Linked DNA regions of Arabidopsis thaliana. The protein of the gene in region 1 interacts with the protein of each later gene in a pairwise test. Each region holds a gene or a part of one and is shown on either strand. Other genes may lie near its edges.

Region 1 (6,519 bases):
GTTACAAGTACATATCTTTCTCAGATTTCGTTATCAAATACCTTTAATCTAATTCAATCATTAACTACGTACTTTAAAAAACAAAGTTATTAGCTACTACTTGATTATCATATAGATGTAAGATTATTAAATTTCTATTTTGCAGGGCGTACTATAGGTGCACCCACCAAAAGCTATACAATTGCCCGGCCAAGAAACAAGTCCAACGCCTTAACGACGATCCCTTCACCTTCCGGGTCACATACCGTGGCTCACACACTTGCTACAACTCAACCGCTCCAACCGCATCCTCTGCCACTCCAAGTACCATTCCAATCTCATCCGTCACCACTGGTCATTCTGTTGACTACGGTCTTGCTGTCGTTGACATGGCTGATGTTATGTTTGGTAGCGGCGGGGTCGGAACCAACATGGATTTCATATTTCCTAAAAACGATCCATCTTAACATCATCACCGTTTCCGGCAGCTGGATGACGGATTGACGGTGACGAAAACAATCAAGATTCATCTACGTACAGAGGAAAAATATACAGTATTTCTTAAGATTAAGTTCTGCGGATTTTATGTATGGGTAGTGAGTGATGCAGTGCCAACATTAGCACAAATCACTAATTGTTGTTAATTTAATTTATTTATATTACTATTATTATAGTTTTGCACTATTACACGTGAAATGGGATCTAATGAGAACCATTTCTTATAGGGTAGTAGTTCTGTTTCTTTGACAATGAAAAAGTGTTTTGTATTTAGTGTTTCACATATGTATTTTGTTTTTCTTCTCAATCTCTTATTTTATTCTTTTCTTAAAGTTAACATATATAGAAAATCTTACATAACCAAAGTAATTTCTTTAAGAAATCAAAATTAGGGGGGAAATTATTAGTTTGTCAGTTTCTCACAAACTGTCATGAACTTGTTGTTGGTGTTTTTTTCTTTTTGTTGTTGTCTTTTCTCAAACTTAAGAATCCAAATAATTAGAAAAGGTGTGTTCCGTGTCTAAACAAGCTCTTCGAGTGGAAGTGATGGTCCTTTGACCGTCATCATTCTCATGAATCCAAATTTGCTTGCCTTTTTGTTCATCTTTTGTGTTTGTTATGTCGACAGAGAAAACACTTTATTCTCTCAATTATTTTCATAGCAGTACACTGTAACATATATAAAAGTCATCAATATTTAGACATCTATTAAAAATGATTTCATGGAGTTATATTTGATTTTTCAAATTACAGGGGTGAATTAAATTTAGTTTGTATAAGAAAAAGTACTTGTACCGAACCGAACATTATAGCTTAATTTATTTTGTTTTATTGTTGTAACAAGCATTAATCAATGCCCTAGTGTACACGGTGATGCTTATGTAAAGGTAACATGCCAACAACAACAAAAAGACAAGCACGACAGTTCCAAAATGCATTTGTCCCAACTTTTTCCTTTTTAGCAGCAAACATTCATAGCCGCAATTTGAATGGATAAGTCTCTTTACACTCTTTAGGTAATCATATTCATCTATCATAATTATAGAATCCAAAATTAAAAGCACTAATAATAACCATAAAGACAAATGAACTTGCGCAGTTATGGAGGTTGGTTTATTCTAAGTTTAATTGGTAATCCATTAAAGTTTTGCCATCTTTAGTGTCATGATGTATCCAAAATAAACTTGTGGAAGAAAAAAACATGTGAATGGTGTAAAAAGAGAAGTATATATGGTGTTTTTATCAAACATACAACAAAAATATTACATTAAACTAGACATACTCAAAGAGAAGACCTAGTGCTGATTCATCATTCCAGATTTGGATGTTCACATAGCACTTGTTCTTTCATAATCAGCACAATATGAGTCGAAGAAGGAGGAAAACTGATCATCGTTGTCGATGAAACCAAATTGATGAGAAGTAGTACTGGTTTCACCACAATAGTAGTGATTTTGATGATCATCAAACATCATCGTCTCTTGCCAAACCAATGACAAGTCCTCACCTGTCGAAGAGCCCTCATAATAATCTTTACTCTGATCACCATTGTTATTTTGTTCCTCCTTAACCATGCCTGCGTCTATTGCTGTCACACTGCTGGTGTTGTTCTCTTGCTCTTGCACCATAGCATTGACATGGTTCTGAGCAGTGCTAGCAGCCAATGTCTTTTCCGAATCCATAATGATTTCTTGATCAAAAGGCTCGGTCTTCGCGTGCGTTTGGTCATTGGCAGTGCATGTGTGGTAGCCAATGTATGTGATTTGGAACATCTCAGAATCTTGATCCTGTTTCTGAACTTGCTTTGTTGCTTTGCATCCTTGCGTTGGCTTGTGTGTGCATCTAAAGTAACTTCTGCAAAACATTAAAACGCATATTGATTTTAGGCCATTGCAAACTTCACATAGTGACTTGAAATATAACATATGTTTCGGCTAGAGATCCCTGGTATAAAAATGAGTTGCCCATGTTTATATGTATTATATATGTATTGTGAGTATATAGATACATAAATAGACATATAAGGAGTTAGGTAATTAAGGACCTTGGGAATGTGGTATTAAGAATCTCCTTTTGTCCATATTTCCTCCAAGCATATCTGTCTTCAGAACTTTTAGCTTCCACGATCCTTGTATGTGATCTCGTCCTGCAAATGATAAATCACAAATTTGTTAATAAATGACTAAACCATTTTTGCCTTTTTATGTTCATTTCAAACAAATCCACGGTACATTCAGTCTTGTTTGTACCAAACTAATCGCAATTATACACTAATAGAAAGTAAAACAAAATTCGGTAAAGTTATGTATGGTATAGTCAGCATTGATTGGCCCTATCCAATCAATCGTATTCATACGATTCCTATCACTACCATTCACACAAACAGTGATTGTATTTTTAGTATATATTAAGCACTAGACATTATGAACAAATTCATATCCTTTTAACCTTTACGATTAGTCATTTCTATATGGGGCACTACCACTATATGATGGTATCCATAGACAAAAATAGCAAATTGTAATGAAAAAAGTTCGAATAAAATCCACATAAAAAGGAGATTATATCATTAAACACGAATAAAAATATAACATAATAAATTGATATTTGAATTCAACTTTTTTTGTCACTTACTTTCTAGTGTAGCATCCTCTTTTACCCTTACCAACCCCTAATCTCTTCTTCTTACTCTCACCGGAATCTCCACCGTTGCAACTCACCGGAGTCGCCGAATCATCCCCACATGAAGCATTCCATGAACCCTCGACGGCGATGGGGACAGAGACGGCGACGGGATCAAAAGAATCAAGAACCGATATAGTTTTATGGAAAGATCCCAAGATCTTAGACATGAGCTCATCAACGGGATCTGGACCACCGGAAACTGAACCCGACCCGGAAACAAGACGGGTCTCATCGATGTGGTACTGGTTAGAGTGTTGATGAGAAAGGAGAAGCTGAAGCTGAGTAGCGAATTCATAGCCTTCGACAAGTTGGTCGACAACTTTTCTCTTTATGGATTTCGTGTTGTTACTATTCGAATCCATTTTTTTCTCACAAAGATACAATGAATATGTAACTTTTTTTAGGTTTTTAGTATGATGATTTGAGAATGAAGAAATGTTGTAATATAGTGGAAAGAGAAGAAAATAGATTTTTTCTCTTGATCAGAAAAAAATCAAAGGAAGATGCTTAGGAAAGAGAGAGAGATGCTTATGCATTATAATGAACATGAAAGGGTATAAAGGGAAAGTAACCAACGTAGTTATGAATTTAGTCATGGATTTGAGGTTATAATTGGAAAGTTATAACTTATCTATTCACCCATTGGCTTGCAAGAGCTTTGCTTATGTCACATTGATGATGTGGAATGACATCACCCATCTCCGTAACACGTTTGATGGCTTGGTGGGTATTTTTTTTCTCCTTTCTTCGCGGATTTATTTAATTAATTAATGCTCATGAAAACGATCCAACAACTTGGTTAGATTTTTAAATGTTTTTTGCGAAAAATTATTTTGTTTTTATCTTGGAGAAAGAGTTATATAACTAATATTTTATGACATTCAAATTATTTTTCAGTACCACGAAATTCACTTTCAAGGGAAAGAACCAAAATAAGGAGAACTGTTTTTTTTTTTTGATAATTAAAGAGGATAAATGTTGACAAGATATATTCTATATCAGACCAACCACTAATATATTTTAAGAGTAATTGGGTCAAATAGTCTTAAGACAGAATAATATTTAGAGTTTTATCAATCTCGTAATTTTATTTTGAAGATATAAATGTATATGTTTTGCTATATAGTAGTATTTTTCCTAAGAAGAAACTATTTATACGTGTGTATTCTCGTGCATTTACGGAAGCAGAAGGATCCTAATGAATATTCTCATTGATGAATTTTGTCATGGATAGACTAGCTACTAAAACTAAAAGCTATAAGCATATATATATATATATATATATATATATATATATAGATAATCGTGGTGAGACCGCTTAGTTCGGATCTAAAACTAGTAATCAAGATTAATCTCATTATACTAAGCCAACGTTATTTAATTTTATCTTTATGTTTTGTAGAACTGCCATTAAAAACGCCGGAAAAGTACTTAAGTAGATAATCAATGTTTTGGATCATTTGGTAAAAGAACCAATACAATCACAAGTCACAACTCTAGGTTATGTCAGCCTATTGCTTGCTTGGCCCTGATCACTTTGGCAGTACTGATTTTATTAAAAATCTATGAATTTTGAACTGAACAAAAATATTAAAATTTGTTGAAACTGTCACTACTTTAATTAATACTCGTGTAACTATTGAAATATTTGTGTGAGTCATCTCATTTAATACCAAAAATAAATTAAAACCTATGATCGTAAGAAATGACTCATTTTGAATTTTTGATCCGTTGAATGAAAAATATCTTCGTTTCATTAAAATGAGTAATTTTGAGTTGGTTAATTATTATTTTTATTTCTGTGACGCATAAAACAATACATCTTTTTTCCTACCAAAAAAAACAATATTTTTTAAAAAAGTAACATTTGTTTAGTATTGGGATATTGTGACGGCAATGAGGGGGCAGGTGCCACTGAGTACTCCTCGGAGTCACAATAATTTCAGTCCACATTGTACATCCACTCGCAAATAAATAAAAAAAATCCATAAGAGTCAAATCCATTTGTTTGCTTATTAATTCTCTAGAAATTACAGATTATATTACGCTTACTTTTTCAACTATAAACAAAAACAAAACGGCTTTACTAGTTTTAATTTATCATACAACTTAACGAAACAGATTATACCAACAATAATAATGAACGGTGAGTAGTATAATGGTAGAACGATGAAATATTTATGAAATATAATTTGTGTACGAACTAATTAACGATATTTTTGTTGTTGTAGTAGTTGACTTCGATCGTAAAAAGATGAATGTGTTATTTCTCGGTTTGAACCAATAAATATGTCCAAACAGCTTTGTTTTACTTCTTCGTTTACTCATCCAAATTCGGCATTTATCTATAAATCCCAACTGATTAATCATTTAGAGATTGTCAAAATATGGACACTAGTTATATTCAAATGTTAAATTATTGCTTTCTTTCGGAGATGATGAGAGAAAGGTCAACGATGATTGGGGAACTGCTATTGACAAATGACAAATGGTTATTAGAATAATAACAATGTTTATTATAAATACATCATTTTGTGCTTAATCTAATCTTAAGCTTAGTTGTCTTAAAAAATAATTAACCAAGAGGCCTCGATTAACGGATTGCTACTTATCGCTAAGACTACTCTGGATCATTATCTGTCACGAAATTTAAAATTTGGTTTAATTTTTTATATGCAAAACATATAGTTCTTAAATGTGTAAGTTGAATCTTATTTCGTGCTATACCCAATCAGAGAATTCTTTGTCTCAAGTATAATTATTTCATCAATTCGCAAGAGACAGTCCTTGCTACGTACGAATCTAATTTCATATTATTTTTTTAAAATACAGAAAAAGTTGAACACCAATAAAAGTACGTTGAAAACGTCAATAATTCAACTAGATCCAACTCATAGTTATATAAATTATAATTATGGTCATTATTACTTTATTTTATTTCTTAATTAGTCCCCACTAATTTTACGGCAGCCTCTACTTTTTTTAATCTTTAATGTATTTAGAACTAAATCCCATTTAGCGATCACTACTCAGATCTCAAACTATCAAGTTTTAATTTGTACTAAACCGTTTTTTTTGTAACCTAGTGATTTGTTTTATTTCTAGGTGTCATTTGATTTCAACTAGGAACACTTTTCTGTTTTGGCTAGTTGATCGGTTCTATTATTGTTTGAGTTCTGTGAGTACTAATCTGAACCCACTCTTTGTCTTATAAAGTTATAAATATATAAATATCTATATATATATATATATATATATACATATATAAAGTTGTTTATGATCAACTATTGATTGTGTCTACATATGTAGCCAAAAGGTCGTTCAATGTAAGAAGGGACTCTAAAATTAAAAGACATG
Region 2 (8,129 bases), on another chromosome or scaffold:
TTTGTCTACAATTTCCAAGAACTGCCTCTGAAATGAAAACAGAGGAGACTTAAGATGATGTTATGAGTCAATGAGAATTTAGTGGATTGTGTTTTACCTCATACAGAGTAACTAATTCTTGAATCTGGAAAACGAAAGACAGATAAAGAACCTCCACCATGAAATCCACCTTTGACCGGCAAGCCACGTGGCAACAATCGTCGTCTACGCAAGCAGAAGCTCCCTTCGGCGGGGACCTCACTCTGCCGCTGTAAACATACGCCAAAACCGCCACAACCGAGTCAAAGCCGACTTCGTAATCTCTGGCGATCTCTTTCAGCTGGAGCTTCACGGTGGTGGAGGATTTTTGTTCCTTCACGGTGGCTAAAGCGCTTTTGAAGACAGGAATTCTCGCGGAAAGAATACAACGGTGAAAAGAAACTTCCCGGCCGCCGGCGAGAACTAGCTTAGCATCGCTGTAGAACGTCTCCGGCGAGTCGAAAACAGACTCGAGGCAGTTAGACAGAAGTTTAAGAGCTGATACCTCCGGTGGCGTGAGAAATTCCGTCGGATAATCAAGAGATGACTCGGCGGCGAAGAAGCTATTGCCGCTTGTGTTGCTGAACTCGTATGAATCAGAGAATCTAGCGGTGGTGGTGGTGGTGGTGGTGGCCATCATCACGAGATCGGCGGGAAACAAAACAGAGTCAAGAGTCTAATAACAGTGGAATTTCAAGAAACAACGACCGAATCGTTTCATTAGCAAATAAAAAAACGTATCATCAACAACGGTCTTTCTCAAGCACCTTTATTAGTAAATTTCTTGGAAACTAGATAGGTTTCTTAAAACGGAATATATTACGTCAAATACTCTGAATGGTAACGAAGCGGTCCCCTCTTCGCATGTCTCCAATTTACCAAACAGTGTTGCGACTTTTGAGTTTGTTTTTCATAACACCAAACACAAACAAGTGTCTCAAGTTTATTTAGCTAGCTTTTTTTTCCCCTCATTTAGCTCTAATGATGCATTAAACTTCTTAAGTAGTATGTGATTAGTCCAAATTGTGGATGTTCGGAACCTCACTTTCTTTGTGTTTTCCTTCTACAATAATTTAAATTATAATTAGTGTTGAACAAGCGGAGGCATTTAGTCAAATTACTCATCTTAAAGGTGAACTGATTTCGACCGATTTAGACTTGACTAATATAATATGGTCATAGTCCAATTATTCATCTTTTGTAGTCTTACACAACAAAATGGTTACCATTGAAAATCAAAGGACGGTGAACAAAAGAATAATGATCATTCCCACTACCCATTACTATCTAAATGGTTATTAAAATCTCTTTCGTCGACAAAGTTTAGGTAGGGGATGAAGTAGTGAATGCAGAGACTAGGGATGATGATGCTTGATTCATAAATTAAATACCAAGGTATATTATTAAAGTGCTTTAGAGAAAATAAACACACCAATAGAAAAACGAACGAAACTCCTACAAGATGAATTTCACTTTTAAAAATCCCAAAACCTTTTCTCAATCCTCATTCTTGATGAACAGAGAATGACCTGAATTATATTTTCACGCAATCCTTTTATGTCTGGTAGAGCGTAGTAAAAGATTACTGTTGCTTGCATTCGGGTGGCCTCTCATCTTGTTTACCTTCACCAACTATCTGAGATCTCCCTCCCTTCTGCAGTCCAAGAGGAAAAAAAAATTAAGCAGATGATTCTCACATTTATCACAAACATAGACACTGATTGCTAGTTTGCTACTATAGTAATAAAATGAATTCATGAGAATGGTTCTATCTCGTACTGCCCATGCCATGATTAAAGAGCTTGTTTAGTCTCTGCTGTGTCATTCATGTATCCTTCTCAGAGTCTTCTACGTAACTACCTATTTACTGATTCATACTTTTTAGGATTGCTCAGTTACTTTCAGCAATCTGTATGATTCATGGGCCTCTAGAGCCTACATTTCCGATATTAATTTCTATTTTCATCACAATGCTCAGCCTGAAACTTCTTGTGTTTGGTTATTTGAATGTTGGAGTTCCAAAATCAAATAAACTTTAGTTCTGAAAGGTTACATACCTTGTTGCCGATTGATGGCTGCAAAAAAAAATATTAAGCGATTTCAAAGGATTAGTAAAAAACTAACGTGGCATGAAGAAAAAAAAAAAAAAAAGAAACAACTATACTTGGGGCACTTTATACCTTCTTTTTGGTCTTGCTTTCTTCTTCATCCTCATCATCATCGTCCTCCTCATCCTCTTCGTCTTCCTCATCTTCATCCTCATCAATGTCATCTTCCTCATCGTCATCTATTTCAAAATCCTCTGCTTCCATAGCCTCACCAGTAAACCATGAGACAGCACGAGGAATAATCTTTTCCCGAATAGTAGATCTGCAGAAAGTAAAAAGTACTTGTGATCAGATAATAATGAAAGGGTAACCACCTTGATTGCAGTGATAAAGTAGTCCCATGACTCAAAAGCAAACCCATAAAATCAACAGAGAAAGTGTGTTTAGAAAAAGACGAACCCGATGTCATAATCTTGTTCCATCAGGTTTTGAAGATCCTCAGCCTGCATCAAAGAACGAGAAAGAGTTACTAAATACATTAACTAAATGATGACAGGTTTTTCTAACAATCGTTATCTTACTCTTTCCTCGTCGATATCTTCATCTTCATCCGGAACTTCTGGAGGACTAAAGAAGTTGAAGAAGCTTTCACAATCTTCGAGTTTGGTGATTGGTTTAGTATTCTTTGAACCTTTCTTAGGCTTCTTCTTGAGAATCTTCTGAGTTAGACACTTTCCAGGATACCAATCAATTTCTGTCCTGAAAATGAATGGTGAAAGAATAAGAATCCATTTGCAATATAAGCGAAGAAAAAAAATAAGCAGCTCAATGCAATCAGCTAATAAGCAGAATATACTTAAAAGTATACAACAATTGCAAGAGAGTATAAGTAGTTACCCCATAGCCTTCTCAAGCAGTGGCTCATCTTCATCAATCATATGATAAGACTTTGTCAAGACAGTGTTCTTAAAATACGGATTCGTGTCAAAGAAAAACTCAAGTTTGAATCCTTTAGGCTCTTCAATCTTGCACCACTTAATATCTTTAAGATATTTGAGAGCCCCTTCATCACGCTCTGTGACCTGACATAAATGACAATAAGTTATGCTCATATTCCATGGTTATGATTGGAGTGTTTATAAAACGAACACCAAAACTGCATATAGGCTACCTCCTCGGAAATAACATCGTTATTTTTCAGAGCTGTCAGCCAGAAACTTGGAACTCCTTTCTCTGCAATGAAAAACAGAGAAAAATGTTAAATTGTTTTTGTCTTTCCAAAAAGATTAACAACAAACAAAGAAGACATAGTGCTCATGAAGTTACCTTCTGCAGTTTTCTCCTCTCCTTGGTCCACCTTGGTATCATCCTCTGGAGCCAGTTCAACTTCAGTAGTGCCATTCACAATCTCATAACGCTGTGCCATTACAAGATACCAAGTAGAATTCATTAAGATGCACATAGAAAACTAACACTGCTGCAGATAAGTAAACATAAGCAAAAAGAGTATACACAGATCTACATTGAGTTTAGTAAAATGGTTTGTAAAACTTTCTCATTAACAATTACCTTGACATACAAAGGCTGATACAGCGTTTGATACTTGGCTTCAAGAATAGCTCTCTCCTCACGGAATTTTGCCTCTAGTTCATCATGTTGGCTCTGCGTGGAAAGAAGTCATCAGTAATCAAAACGCAACACCTTACTTTTGAAACTTTAAATTCAGATAAGCAGGGAGAAAACTCACACAAAACAAAACAAACCCCATTAAACGATATATAGCACACATAGTTTGGTAAAATGTGAAAGAAATTTCGCTAACCTGTATATCCCTCAAGGCATCAACGCGCTTTCTCACATTGGGAGTCAGATTCTCGAGCACATCAGAACGCTGACCAGCCAGATTCTGCAGCTTGTTCTGTGAATTAATAACAATGTATTAACAACTCATAAACTATCATTGTACTAGAAGAATGACATTGAAACCAAAACACTAAACACCAAGACACGGCTTATAGTATCTAAACAATCAGAGGAAAGTAACTCAACATCCTCCATATCTTTCAATAGCAAATGCTCACGGGACAGTTTACAGAAGGGGAAAAAAACTCACCTTTAGAGCATTGACAAGGCCAGCTCGATCCTCGTCCTTAAGAGCTGCAAAAAAACAGTAAACAAAAGGAACACCAGTCAGATAACAGAGGAAATTAGGGTTAAAGCAGCTCTGGCTTAAGAGGCGGAGAAAGAGATAAGAGTAATCGTGAGTAGGAGTATTTTACCAGCAGTAAGATCGGAGACGTTGAAGCTATCCTTGTCGTTGCTCATCTTCTGAGGATTTGGTGAAGAGAGAGATTTTGAAGAAGAAGAAGCAGAAGAGACTAGGGACAAGGGTTTTGGGGAGGCGACTCGTAACCCTTAAATCCTCTTTGTTTTTTTGTTTTTTTCTCTCCCTCCTTTTCACACCAAAATTATAACAAATGCCATTTTAGTTTTTTCTCTTTTTATATATACTTTTCTTTCTCTAAAAATTGATGTTTAATGTTTTAAAAAGCAAAATTAAGTTTATTGAATTAAATAACATGCAAAACTTTACATACATATATATATGGATAATGAGAACTGACTTATATATAGATAATTAAAGTTTATTTATGAATTCAATCAATTATAAATATATATAACTAATATATAAACTTTAATTATCTATATAATTAAAATTTTGCATGTAATTATATTAATTATCTATATACTTATATATATATATATACACTTATATATATTTGATTCTTCACCAAATACAGTACAGGTTAGTGAACTTTAATGGGATCAAATAGAAGATTTCTGAATCTGTTAGTACTAAGGCCCATCCCAAGAATGAGCCTTCCAAGCCCAATACACTGATTACTTCTTTTGTTCACATACACTGTACATACTAATTAAAAACAAAAAACAGTCCACAACAAAAACAAAAAAACAGTCCACAACAAAAAGTCATATCCCAAAAGGCACAAAGATCTTTAGTTTGGTTTAAGCTCATCCCGAGTTCAAACGAATTAAACGTACTCTAATCTAGATTAGCTCATCACGACATTTTCAATTTGAAGTTTCAACCTTTTATACGTCTGACCAGAAACACAATAAAGAAGCCTCACGCGTAGCATTTTTTTTTAACCAGAAAACCATGAGACAAATTCAACCTAATCAGATAACTGTAAATCATTTCATTCATCCTATTAAAAGCAAAGGTGAAAAGCTTTTTGTACCTCCACGACTCCCACTTAAGAGAAACATTTTGTAGAGCTTTCAAGTCACGCGTAGCAAACACACCTGGTAAGTGGTCAATCTTTTTATATCATATAGCCATCATAAGAGTATCATTAATAGTAGTTTCTTAGCATAATCTTAATAGTTCTTATGAATATTTTTATAATTGATTTTGAAAATTTTGAAGTTAAGAATTTAGTTAAGAGATTGAAATTTTGGCAATATGCAATGGTGGACTCTTAACTTGAGTTCTTAAAAAAAAAATTGGAAAAAAAGTAGAAACATTATAATTTTAAAAAACTTAATAATTATTACAACTCAAAAAATTTGAAACATACATAACATAAAATTTTAAACAAATATGACAAACAATTAGATTTAATACTTAATTTATCTAAGAATTAAGATTAATTGAATTAAAACATTATATTTAATACCTAATTTATCTAAGAATTAACCTAAGAAACATTAGATTTGGCTCTTATATAAGAGTCATTTTTAACAATTAATTGAATTATAACATTAAATTTAAGACCTACTTTATCTAAGAACTAACCTTATAAACTATGAATAATGATGGTCTAAGCGCGCTTGTTGTTGAAACTCTCAAATAAACCGGATAATTTTAAAACCAGGTTTAGTTTAGTTGGTAGATTCGGCTCAAATAGTAGTATTTTTGTGGATTTAAAGATGCTCAGCATGTATATACATATGTGTTCTATAGATGTTTTACACATTTTTTCTATTTTACTATTCTGCTTGCCATAATCATTAGATTGTTTGGTTGAACCGAAGCATAGAAACCAAACCGAACATAGCACACAGCAACAAAACCGGAATCATTCAGAGGTAAATAATTTTTTTACATTACCCGCAACTGCAAGGAAAGAGGAAAAAAAAAAAGACGCAAACTTTGAGAAAGACATCCTCATCGTTTTCTGTCCATCGAAGCTCTTTTTTTTTTTTTTTTTTTTTATCTTCGTATTCAATTCTTGAGAGGAGAGAGAGAGAGAGAAGCATCCCAGAAAACGACATTCTGTTCATATGGAGTTTTTTCACCAGATCGAGAGCACGAAGAAGATGATTACTGGGTTTTGATTTAGTCGGCGAAAAATCCGTAATCTCATTGTTCGTGATCTCTGGGTTGTTTTTCTGGATTGCTGGTGCGGCTGATTCTAGTCAGGATTGTTTTTGGGGTCCCTTTCGCTCTATTTGAATCTGCGTCTGGGTTGTTAAGATTGTACAAGGGGTTTCGTGGTTATTTATGGAACCTCGTGTGGGGAACAAGTTTCGTCTCGGCCGAAAGATCGGTAGTGGTTCGTTTGGAGAGATCTATCTCGGTTCGTCTCTCTCTCACTTTCTAGTTTTTAATTTTATGGATTATCGAATTCGTCACATTATCTCTAACATTGTTGTTAACCTGTGATTTTCCAGGTACTAATATTCATACGAATGAAGAACTGGCTATTAAGCTTGTGAGTTCTTCAGTCATCCCATTTTAATAATTTGATGATCAAAAAGTTTATGGATTTATAAGTAACATTATCACAATATGTTTAGTTTGATCAAGTTCAGTATGTTGAAAAGCTGAGATTTTGATTCTCTTTGTTTTTGTTTTCCCAGGAAAATGTGAAGACAAAACATCCACAGCTGCTCTATGAATCGAAGTTATACAGGATTCTACAAGGGGGAAGTAATGATTCTTATCTTCTGAATGAGATATTGATTTCTGATAATGTAAAGTTTGTGTTACTTATGACCTTTCTTTTGCCTTAACTTTGGTAGCTGGTGTTCCAAATGTCAAATGGTTTGGTGTTGAAGGGGACTATAATGTTTTGGTGATGGATCTACTCGGACCAAGTCTTGAAGATCTCTTCAATTTTTGTAGCAGGAAACTTTCATTGAAGTCTGTCCTCATGCTTGCTGATCAAATGGTATACTTCTTCATGTGACGCCTTTCTTTCATTTGCTCCTCTATGTTTCAGGAAATATTGACTTCTTTCTTCCTTTGGTTTTTGTGATAAGATCAACCGTGTTGAGTTTTTTCATTCAAAGTCTTTCCTTCACCGAGATCTTAAGCCAGACAACTTCCTCATGGGCCTTGGAAGGCGTGCGAACCAGGTTTATCATCTTATTGTCTTAACTATATCCTTTTGGTCTTATTTTACTTTTGGAGACATCATTGTATTGACCAAGTTTAATCCTTCTCTAAGGTATACATCATTGACTTTGGTCTTGCTAAGAAGTATAGGGATAGTACAACACATCAGCACATTCCCTACAGGTGAGGCGATCATTGTATCAGCTCTTGAATGTTCTTCCCTTGAGCATGATTCCGTTGTTATGTGATGACTGGAAACGCTAATTTTTCCCATGATTCTCATTTGCAGGGAAAATAAAAACCTGACAGGAACTGCGAGATATGCTAGTATGAACACTCACTTGGGAATTGGTAAGCTCGACAAGACCTGCTTCATGTTAATTTGTTCCAGTCACTCTCCTTATGTGTTTGAGTTATAAGGTTTGATACTCATCAGCTGTTATTTGTTTTCTGGCATTGCGAACCTGAAGAACAAAGTCGAAGGGATGATCTTGAGTCTCTTGGTTACATCCTTATGTATTTCCTCAAAGGAAGGTGAGTTTATGCTACATGCCTCACACTCTCTTCACTTTATTTCCCTAACTTCTTCAGTTTGATTGATGTGTGGAATATCTCTGTTTTAGTCTTCCATGGCAAGGACTGAAAGCTGGAACCAAAAAGCAAAAGTATGAAAGGATTAGTGAAAAGAAAGTTTCTAC

What was found. Proteins that work in one complex are often made in the same cells at the same time.
Region 2: the proteins of WRKY54 (region 1) and NAP1;1 interact in binary tests that used the Arabidopsis thaliana proteins (3 or more experiments, as listed by UniProt).

The regions. Positions count from the first base shown.
Region 1 is NC_003071.7:16,998,831-17,005,349, forward strand, and holds WRKY54 (WRKY DNA-binding protein 54), read right to left. Parts: upstream 3,699-6,519; 5' UTR 3,525-3,698; coding exon 3,112-3,524; intron 2,624-3,111; coding exon 2,522-2,623; intron 2,332-2,521; coding exon 1,806-2,331; 3' UTR 1,589-1,805; downstream 1-1,588. Other genes in the region: WRKY55 (WRKY DNA-binding protein 55), read left to right, coding at 146-446. UniProt on the Arabidopsis thaliana protein: Transcription factor. Interacts specifically with the W box (5'-(T)TGAC[CT]-3'), a frequently occurring elicitor-responsive cis-acting element.
Region 2 is NC_003075.7:13,228,974-13,237,102, reverse strand, and holds NAP1;1 (nucleosome assembly protein1;1), read right to left. Parts: upstream 4,536-8,129; 5' UTR 4,392-4,535; coding exon 4,346-4,391; intron 4,224-4,345; coding exon 4,180-4,223; intron 3,985-4,179; coding exon 3,889-3,984; intron 3,729-3,888; coding exon 3,636-3,728; intron 3,484-3,635; coding exon 3,393-3,483; intron 3,300-3,392; coding exon 3,238-3,299; intron 3,149-3,237; coding exon 2,964-3,148; intron 2,826-2,963; coding exon 2,648-2,825; intron 2,570-2,647; coding exon 2,526-2,569; intron 2,389-2,525; coding exon 2,199-2,388; intron 2,094-2,198; coding exon 2,076-2,093; coding exon of another isoform or gene 2,043-2,075; exon of another isoform or gene 1,673-2,042; coding exon 1,601-1,672; 3' UTR 1,195-1,600; downstream 1-1,194. Other genes in the region: AT4G26120 (Ankyrin repeat family protein / BTB/POZ domain-containing protein), read right to left, coding at 1-27, 98-658; CK1 (casein kinase 1), read left to right, coding at 6,595-6,670, 6,765-6,805, 6,954-7,023, 7,116-7,264, 7,356-7,451, 7,544-7,614, 7,721-7,782, 7,902-7,965 and 1 more. UniProt on the Arabidopsis thaliana protein: May modulate chromatin structure by regulation of nucleosome assembly/disassembly. Contributes to the regulation of cell proliferation and cell expansion. May function in nucleotide excision repair (NER). Involved in somatic homologous recombination.